Schizosaccharomyces pombe: one gene and its partner. Changing the gene in region 2 together with the main gene of any one other region gives a genetic interaction. Each region holds a gene or a part of one and is shown on either strand. Other genes may lie near its edges. The genes, in order: sec28 and nup131.

Region 1 (3,653 bases), 1.4 Mb from region 2:
TGTTGGCATATATAGTTGTAATCTGTCATGGTGCCACTGCCGTTTGAGCAAGTTCATCTTCGATTCTTAAAGTCTTATCGTTTAATATCGGTTTTCTTGCTTTTTCCAAATTCCAAACACCTGTGTATTTCAAAACATCTTTCTTTTCTATTTGTAAAGGCAAACTTGTTGCTTGTCATTTTGTGGCACTGCAGGTTTTGAGTAATTTTGGACAAGAACCACCTATTCTAGATTTTTAAAAACAAATATATAGGTGGATAGTCATAATAGTTCATTTTTAATTAATGAATGTATTTGATAAATAAAAGTAAACGGTTTAAAGACGCTCCTGTTGTGACGGCGTTCATTTAAATGTTTCATTTCGAGATATATTCGGGTGCGTTTTCTTGTTATTATGTCTACATGAGTCTTCTTCTGCATGCGGTTAAGTATTTCTAATTAATTAGTTTAATACCTTTACTTCTGGTAAACTTGAAATTTATCGAGGCAATACTGGATTGACTTGCTTTGCCAGACAGATCAACGAGCCATTACTTGAGTGAAGCAATAGTCAATGAATAAATACTAAAAATGCAAACATTTGAAGTTTATTAATGGATTGAAGATTCTAAACAATATTATTATTGGATTAAGCCGTACTCAAAAATTGAGTTGAAAAAGTATCAAATTCTTGCGCCTTTTCATTTAAATGATCGTTCAACTTCAGTGTAGAAGAATTTGTAAAAGATGAAAGTATATTCTTGGCTTGAGAAGGAGCATCAGGGCCTAAATCCGTGATTGCAGTAGTCATATTTGATAGTGCCTCCTCGTAATTTGGTTGAGAATCGAGGGCAGTTTTCAGCGAGCTCAAAGCCTCTTCAGGTCTCAACAAGCATATGTCTGCACACGCCATACCAGTTAAAGTCATTGGATTGCTATCAGTTCCGTTTAACTCTTCAAAAACATAAAATGCATCATTATAGGATTCGACGCCTCCACTAACTATTTTAATCCAAGATTGTGCCAGCTGTAGTACAATTTCTTCATCAGCCCAATCCAAAGCCTGTTTCAATGTCTGTTCAGCAGCTTCAATTTTGTGCTCTCGTAAATGAATGTATACTTGAAGCGCCACCGCCTCCAAGTTCTCTACTGACTTCTTTAATAAATCCATTGCATCATCAAAAGAACCATTTTTAATTTGAAAAATAGCTCCTAATGTTTGTACCACACTGTCTGAATTGCCATGCTGGTCAATAATTAACTCCATGTTCCCCTCCCCAGCCAGCGCCAGAATAGCAGCTGATCCAGGCGTTTTTTGAGTTAAAATACTTTGGATTGATTCTAAACTTTCACCTAAAGCTAATTTTGCCCTTGCCATATAAATTTCGGTCAATTCAAGACCTTTTTCAGACATGGATGTCGTGTCAATTTCAAATAACTTTGTATAGTTTCCACTATAAAAGTATTGACGAACAAAATACAGTTCTATCAAATATTAGTTGTTATTTAATTCCCAACTCATCTCTTACCATTAGATAAACTAGCCTCCCATGAAAACATGTTAAAAGTTTTAATTATGTTGGGCGATGTGTGGAGTAGAGAGTATGTGGGTTAATGGTGTTTGTACATGAGTAACCCTACAACAAAATGTAAAGCAAACGAACTTTCCATCAAGACTTGTAATTTTTCTAATTGCTCCGAAGCCTAATATAATATATTTCGCAGTCAGCAAGTAAAATGTTCGATAATTGAGATCCTTTTTCTACAGGTCGTTGTTGTATTCAAGAATCACCAGCAAACTACATTTTGGTCCACTGGCTTTTATATACAATGCAACAAATCTAGTGTTATAAATCAATACATGTTAACAAAGCGAACATTATAATTTATTAGAATAACAAATGGCGAGCTTTAAAAAAAAAGAAAAAAAAAAATTGTAAAACCTAGACTACCTTTGAAAGTTTGAGTTTAACTCAAGGTAACTAATCAATATATATATATATATATACTTCCTTTATTCCTCACATATTGTACTAAACCCAAAAAAAAAAAGGTTGTGGTCTTTTTTATGGCAGTATCAAAGTACAGAGTAAAACACTCTACAACTCCAATGTCTATCTAAATTCTAAAAATTAAATCCAAATCAAAAAGGCCAAAACAAACTTAAAAGTTGGAAGGGTATAAAACAGAGTCTGCATAAGCAAACGTATCTTTGATGGAGCGAGGAGAAACGAATCGAGACAGAATCATTCCGCTACCAGCTTTATCGTTAGTACCACTGGCACGAGCACCACCAAAAGGTTGTTCACCAACAACAGCACCAGTACACTTATCATTGATATAGAAGTTACCAGCGGCATTACGGAGACGGTCAGTCAACTTTCTGACAACAACACGGTCCTGAGCGAAGATGGATCCGGTTAAACCATAAGGAGTGGTAGTATCGATGAGATCGCAAACAGCGTCTAAGTTGTCATCCTCATATACATAAACAGACAGTACGGGGCCGAACAATTCGTTAACGAATATATCATGTTTAGGGTTTTTAGAAAGTAAAACGGTAGGTTCAACAAAGAAACCTTCGGAATCATCAGCTTTACCGCCAGCCAAAACTTCAATTTCAGAATCGGAAGCAGCACTCTCAAGAACCTTCTTCAGTTTGTTAAAGCTTGCTTGATGGATAACAGGGCCCACAAAATTAGCAAAATCAGTTAAAGGAGCACCGACCTTAAGAGACTTGACCTGTTTGGTAAGCTCATCACGGAAACCATTTTCCCAAGCATACTTAGAAACGTAAAGACGAGAAAGGGCAGAGCACTTTTGGCCTTGATATTCGAAAGCAGCACGAACAGCATTAACAACGGCACTCTTAATTTCAGCGGAAGAATGTACAAGATGAAAGTTCTTACCACCAGTCTCACCGACGATTTTGGGGTAAGTGCGGTATTTTCCGTTGGCAACATTCTCGCCAATTGTTCCCCAAAGGCTACGAAAGACGGCTGTGCTACCAGTAAAATGAAGACCAGCAAACTCAGGGTGGTTGAAACAAACCTTGGAGACTTCAACAGCGTCACCAGGGATAAATTGAAGTGCTCCAGCGGGAAGACCAGCTTCACGGAAGATTTGGTAAACAATGTAGCTAGAAAGGACTGCATGGTCAGAAGGCTTCATTAAAACGACGTTGCCCATGAGAAGGGGGGCAGCAGCCAAGTTACCAGCAATAGCTGTAAAGTTGAAAGGAGTAATGGCATAAACGAAACCTTCCAAAGGACGATATTCCATACGGTTCCAGACACCAGGAGTGTTTTCGGGAGGTTGGCTGGCATATAATTCACTAGCATACTTGGTATTGAAGCGAAGGAAGTCAATGATCTCCATTCCAGCGTCAATTTCAGCTTGCCAGATGTTCTTACCCTGGCCAATCATTGTAGCAGCCATGAGCTTGTAACGGTACTTGGTGCTTATCAAATGAGCAGCCTTCAAGAAAATGGCAGAACGGTCAGCAAAAGGTAAGGATTCCCAGACCTTCTTTCCACGAAGTGCTGCCTCAATGGCATCTTCAACGTGCTTGGCACCAGCACGGTGATAGCGAGCAACGACCTTTTTGTGCTCAAAAGGACAACGCTGCTCACCAATGGTATTCGTTTCAACTTCCTTACCATCAATGATGACAG
Region 2 (6,314 bases):
TGTTTGTCAAGTTCTTGAATGACTTCTTGAGGCTTTACCAATTCACCAGGAGCGCTACGAGTGAAAGTGAAAGGGAAGCGTTCCTTCCATGTTTGAATTTGAGATAACCAGTCAAATCGGGAAGGAATTTTAATATTTTTAGTAGCAGAATCTAAAAGCTTTAGAGATTCGTATACATCGCCCTCTATTGCTTCAGTAGGTTGTACGACCTTACCGATATTTTTGGGTGAAATATCAAAGTGAATAATACCGCCACGCTCTTCGGCAGCAGCAAGACGTGCTTGAGGAGCAAACAAACTTACGTTACCGGTGACACGGTCGTCAAAGCGAACACCAAGAGCAAGGATAAGATCGGCTTCCTGCATGGCCATATTAGCGTATCCACTACCATGCATACCGAGCATATGCAAACTAAGGTCAGAACGTTCATCTACAGCACCAAGTCCAAGCAAAGAAGTAGTAACAGGAATTTGCAGCCTTTCGCTAAACTTGCGTAACAAAGTGGGGCATTCGGGATTAGCTAAAACACCATGCCCACAGAAAATCACAGGCTTCTTGGCTAATTTTAGTAAATTGGCAACACGATCGATCTTGGCAGTAACGTTCTTGGAGCCCTCTTCTAAGACTTCCTTCATTCTGCGATTCATTGATGGTACAGAAGACAGTATAGGAATGGGCTCCTTCAAAACGCTAGCAGTGACATCTTTGGGAAGGTCAACCAATACAGGGCCAGGGCGTCCAGAAGTAGCTATCTCAAAAGCTTCGTCTATACGACGGGGAAGATCAGCAACATCTTTGACCATTACATTCCATTTAGTACATGAACGAGAAATACCAACCATGTCAGCTTCTTGAAATGCATCACTACCAATTGCGCTGGTTGCTACTTGACCAGAGAATACAACTAGGGGAGTACCGTCGGCCAATGCATCAGCAATCGGGGTAATCACATTCGTAGCACCGGGTCCAGAAGTAACCAATACAACGCCGGGTTTTTTAGTAACGCGGGAATAAGCTTGGGCTGCATGTCCAGCAGCTTGCTCGTGTCTTGGCAAGATAAATTCAAAATGAGGAGATCTATAAATTGCATCGAAGACAGGCAAGATAGCACCACCTGGATAACCAAATACATGCTTAACATTATGCTTGAGCATCATATCATGGAAAATTTCACCCCCAGTCTTTCCAACAAACGAGCTGTCATATTTTATAGGACTAGCCGTAGTCACTGTAGAGGTGCTTTTGGTCGAATTTGCCCGAACGACACCGAATGCATTTTTTAATTTTTTAATTCTCAAATTATTACTAAAGCCGGTGCCATACCTCCGCACAGCTGAGCAACTATTTAAATTTAAAAATCTCTTTTGAAGGGCAATTTCTCGTCCATAAGACGAGAAAGCCGCCCTCGTATGCAATCTTCTAAGGGGAGCCAGCACAGTCATTATAAATAACTTTTAACCCTCAATTCCTTTCTAGAAAGAGCTATCTTTCAAGTTGCAAAAGATCGGTATGCTGAGCGGTATGAGAAGTGAGCAGGTTCATTTTTGCCTAAAAACATTGGTTGTTCACCACCACAAAAAAGATCAGATTTGTTAACGATAAGTACTGTACCCCGGAGATTAAATATACCGATGCATAATACTATACCCTTTGAAGTCGTGTTATTATTCTTTAAAAAGTTCAGATGATGTAGGAATACAATTTATCTATTTATCCATGTCTCCTTAATTTTTTAAACATTAGTAAATGCTGGAAAACGTCAAATAAATTTTTCTTGATCCTAAATTATAAGTTTCCTATCGATTCAGCTTAGAAAATCGTCAGAATTATCTTTGAGCATAATCTGTTTAACACGTAAGAGATCTTAGATACTTTCGCTTTTTTAAACATTAGTGAGCCTCTTATTAGAGGAATTGCAATGTTTATTGTACATCGACGGTTTTTTCAAAATGAAAAAGCTTTTACGCCTGCAGGAAAACATGAAAAAGTTGCCGACGGAAACAAACATGAGACATTAGCTACTTCAGAATACCCGAAAGTCTGTGCATCAAATGACTTGTACAAAATACTCCAAATATCTGCTCCTAAGGTTGGCAATTTTACAATCCATGATGCGCCAGTTGTTGGACTAATTGACTCTATTTTGGAATATTATTTGTATATTAGTGTCAAAGTTCGAAAGGCATGGATTGCTGGTTATGGAAGTCAGCCCCAAAACTTAATATGCTTTGATTGGGAACGTTTTACGGGTATTCTAGATCAGCAGAGTCTAAATAGCCCACCGTTAGCTGGATTTGTTAAGCCAGATCCAACATCAGCAGAGCCTGGCTTTTTACTTTTGTGGCCTGCTTCGGGCGACCTTTTCTACTGGGAAAGAACTTCTTTGATGAACGTTGAGGTTTCTGCTCCCGAATTTCCTGGTTTTCTTCATTACAGGATTCAACTAAAACGATATGAAAGCTGTAAAAATTTGGTTAGTGCTGAGCCTGCTGGCTTTTTCCTTACTCTGAGTTCAGGTCGGTTGCTTCATCTGAATTTAAAAGATAGCGATGGCAATTCCTCTATTCAGGTTCGAATCCTATTTCCTGGATTGCACATCCCCAACTGCTTGCTGTCGTTATACAACAGTATCTTTGCATTTACTTCAGGAAGAGTTATTCCAATACGTTGTGGTTCAATAAAAGGACCTGGTGAGAGATTAGTTTATTCTATGCATTCTGGAAGCACATTGCGAATTTGGGAAATATTCGGGACTGGTGATCACCACTTGTTACGTGGTTTTGACATTTATGATATAATTTTAGATAGTATTCAGGAATCCTTTTCCTACGTAAATCGATTTCTAATCCTTGATTTTTCTGTTTCAACCTCGGATCCTTATACGTTAGCTTGTTTGGTTTCCTGGCGTGATAATGCTTCATTATTCAATTATGCTGCAATCATTATTTCTTTCAACCATCAGATGATACCTCATGTTTCACAATTCTGCCATGTACGCTCATATCTTTCTGCAATTCTTCCATCAGTGTGTCGAATATTTTTACCAAGTCCAGGTACAGTTGTTTTTTGCGTCTTCGATGTCACTTTTGCTATGTTTCATAAAGTGCGAGGGAAAGAAGGCACTTTTTATGTCGAAGAAAACCTGGTTGTGAACAACCTAACTTCCAAATCTCGGGTTTTGGATTTTGGCATGGAAGATGCGATATATGAAAAATCTACGCACACCTTACTAAAAACTCCAGCATTGATCTTGTTAACAGAAGGGCATGGTATAATCCGAATTGAATCTTCTGCTAGCTACCTGAAAACCAGCTTTAGTGCAACCACCTATTTACGAAGTCGTCTCTCCCAGTTTGCATCGCAAAGCCCTTTGTTCCGTGTAAGTTGTTAATTCTTTCGTATCTAACATATAGGAACAATTTTTGTTAAATTTTGACTTTACATACAACCTCTCTGAAAGCGAAGTCTATAATACAGTCTTTAATCTTTGTGATGAACTTTATACGAGTAAGATAATTTTTTCATGATATATTACTAATTGCAATCAGCGCCATGTAAAAAAAATATGTCTGTATTAGAAACACTACATTCTCAGCAACGTGACTTGATGGAAATAGTTCTTGTTGCCTTCAAATACCTACATTTATCTCCTTCTAATAGACTTCAATTATGGCTAAAAGTTGCCTATTGCAGTGCTTTGGCAGACCTATATGAATTATTGATGTGTAATGAAAAAATGTCTAACTTGCTTCGACGAGTATTGAAAATAATGTCTTCAAATGATAATATTGATGAACTTTTTTTGAAAAAGTGCCTGAATATAAATTTGTTATTACAGCATTTAAGCTCGGAATATTCTCAAATATCTGGCCAAGATGCTAGCAACGCACAAAAAAGAATTGAAGTAATAGTAAATGTTAATAACGTTTATGGGGTATGTTTCTTATAAAATAACGAGGTTTACTAATATTAGACTATCTTTGGAAATGAGCTTGCTTATAGGCAAGAAAAAATATCAAAATTTACTGATCCATCCTCTGTGATTAGAAGCGACCTTTGGACAGTTGAAGTTGATCACTTAGATTTACTACGAAAACAGATCGAAGATTCGATATCATTGCATCGCGATGTACGTGACTCGAAAGATGCACACATATTAAAAGTCAGTAACAAGCTTCGGAAGCAGATTTTGCATCTGGTGGAACAAAATTGCCTTTTGATCTTTGATTTGCACAATGGAACAGATGATACCATAGTAAAATCGCATAATTTTCAAAAATTTGAAGAAGAATTTGGCAATTCACGAAAAGAATGGTTACAATATTTAGGTAAGCTGTTTCTCACTTTCTTGTTTCCGCTAACAAAGAAGCTTCTGTCGGATATTTGGAAAAGGCAATCGACTTGGCGGAAAAAGTTAAAGACTTTCAGACAATGGTAATTTTGCTGGATTGTCTAGATCCAAAGGATCCTACCATTAAGCTTCAAAAGCAAAAAGCATGCTTAAATAAATACAAAGAAGAATTCGCAGATGTAATTTTTTTTTATTTGGTTGATACAGAGCAGTATGCGTCTTTGCTTCATGATTTCTTGGAGTATCAATCACTTTTAATATCTTTTTTTGAAGCCAATGATTTATTGAATCTTTTGTGGATATTTGAAGCTCAAAATGGAAATTATGGACGAGCCTCCGAAATTCTTTTCCGTGATTGTGAACCAGAAGAAAACAGGATTATCGGTAAAATTTCGCAGTTAGCTCTAGCAAAGCTCTACTCATGGACTAATAGAATTGAAGGTGAAAATATCATATTGTCAAATGAGACTGAGGTGATTGAAAATCATTTAGCCATTTTGCTTATTCAAGAGCAATATGCTGAAATGCTTTCATCACTTGTGGATATTACAGAAGACGAGGGAGAAGCTGTCGAAGCAATAGTAACTTCCAATTGTGTAAATCTATCAGAAAACTCTATCAGAGCCTGGCTCGTGTCTAGTGCTGTTGAGCGATTAATTCAAAACGAATACACTACGCTTTGTGAGATGGTAGATTTCTTTTCTTCTTTTTCATTACGGGAATGTTCATTCAAAGAAGTTGATTTGGCCTTAGAGTTATTAGAAAGAGCTACAATCACTAAGGACGTGTATTTTTACTTAAAAGATCTCGTATATCGCCGTTTTCTATTACAGGTGAACTGGGCAGAAATCATCGATGCGCATGAAGATTTAGAATCTTCATTTTTTCCAATGGTAAAGGAAATTATGTTAGAATCAGACTTTTTAATATGGTTACAACATATGGAACACAATATTCACGACGAAAGTAAACATTACTTGAAATCGGAAAAAAATTTTTTGCAAAGTGTATATTCTTCACTTTCTGAGTCGCAAGTGGAAGATTATCAAATGGAGCTTTTTCGTGAAAAGCAAATTTTCTCAGTACTATGTAAAGATAGAGAGTTATACATTCTGATTCCGAAACTTCTGGACGTAGCAACAAAACAATGAAATGAAATTTTGCTATATATTACTTTACATTTCCTCAGTAATCGATAAACACCTGTTTAAACCTAGTACTACTTATGTTTGTATAATCTATCGTATAGCCTCAGCTCCGACAACTCCGTTTTTACGATGGTAGATGCTAGATAATCACTGGTTAGAATATTTACGGCTTAAAATAATTAAATTTTTTTATTATAGATTCTTGATTTATTATGATGATTGCGCCTTCGGGGCTTTTTCCCTGTCCTGGATAGCCTCACCCTTACGTTGGAAATTAAGCTAAGGCCTAGTGTGTTGCATCCAAGTACACCTTACAACTAACGTCCACTAAAACACTCAAACCACATAATCATTTGTTAGTCGAAAGAAAGCCTGTAACTTCTATTAAATTATAGTAATTGGTTTTCTAAATTTTGTTGTTTTTGGTCGGCTACTGAATCGCAATTGGACTTCAATCTCTGTGGTGAATGCAGTGAAAACAAACTGAGATTTGTGTGGCATTTGTTAGTGAGGCTACAAATTGACTACATAAAAACTGCATAGTCCTTGCAATAAAAAAAATTTTATCTGTTCGGTCAATTCCTTGTGACAGGGTTATTTATCATGAATTCCCAAACGAGCGTAGTAGGGGTTCACTATCGCGTGGGTCGTAAAATAGGTGAGGGATCGTTTGGTGTTATTTTCGATGGGATGAATCTTTTGAATAACCAACTTATTGCTATAAAATTTGTATGTTCTTTGTTAGGATGAGTATATGGACAATACTAACAATGGACGTTAGGAACCCAAAAAGTCGGAGGCACCTCAGCTCCGTG

Evidence for each region.
Region 1: mutations in nup131 (region 2) and sec28 together harm fitness less than expected from each alone (positive genetic interaction), as found in Schizosaccharomyces pombe (one large-scale study listed by BioGRID).

What each region holds. Positions count from the first base shown.
Region 1 is NC_003423.3:2,325,392-2,329,044, reverse strand, and holds sec28 (coatomer epsilon subunit protein), read right to left. Parts: upstream 1,572-3,653; 5' UTR 1,540-1,571; coding exon 1,509-1,539; exon of another isoform or gene 1,465-1,508; coding exon 629-1,464; 3' UTR 544-628; downstream 1-543. Other genes in the region: put2 (delta-1-pyrroline-5-carboxylate dehydrogenase), read right to left, coding at 2,143-3,653. UniProt on the Schizosaccharomyces pombe protein: The coatomer is a cytosolic protein complex that binds to dilysine motifs and reversibly associates with Golgi non-clathrin-coated vesicles, which further mediate biosynthetic protein transport from the ER, via the Golgi up to the trans Golgi network.
Region 2 is NC_003423.3:972,237-978,550, reverse strand, and holds nup131 (nucleoporin, WD repeat Nup131), read left to right. Parts: upstream 1-1,704; 5' UTR 1,705-1,918; coding exon 1,919-3,379; intron 3,380-3,413; coding exon 3,414-3,507; intron 3,508-3,548; coding exon 3,549-3,934; exon of another isoform or gene 3,935-3,973; coding exon 3,974-4,328; exon of another isoform or gene 4,329-4,369; coding exon 4,370-5,502; 3' UTR 5,503-5,529; downstream 5,530-6,314. Other genes in the region: ilv1 (acetolactate synthase catalytic subunit), read right to left, coding at 1-1,442; serine/threonine protein kinase (CK1 family) Cki2, read left to right, coding at 6,103-6,228, 6,281-6,314. UniProt on the Schizosaccharomyces pombe protein: Functions as a component of the nuclear pore complex (NPC).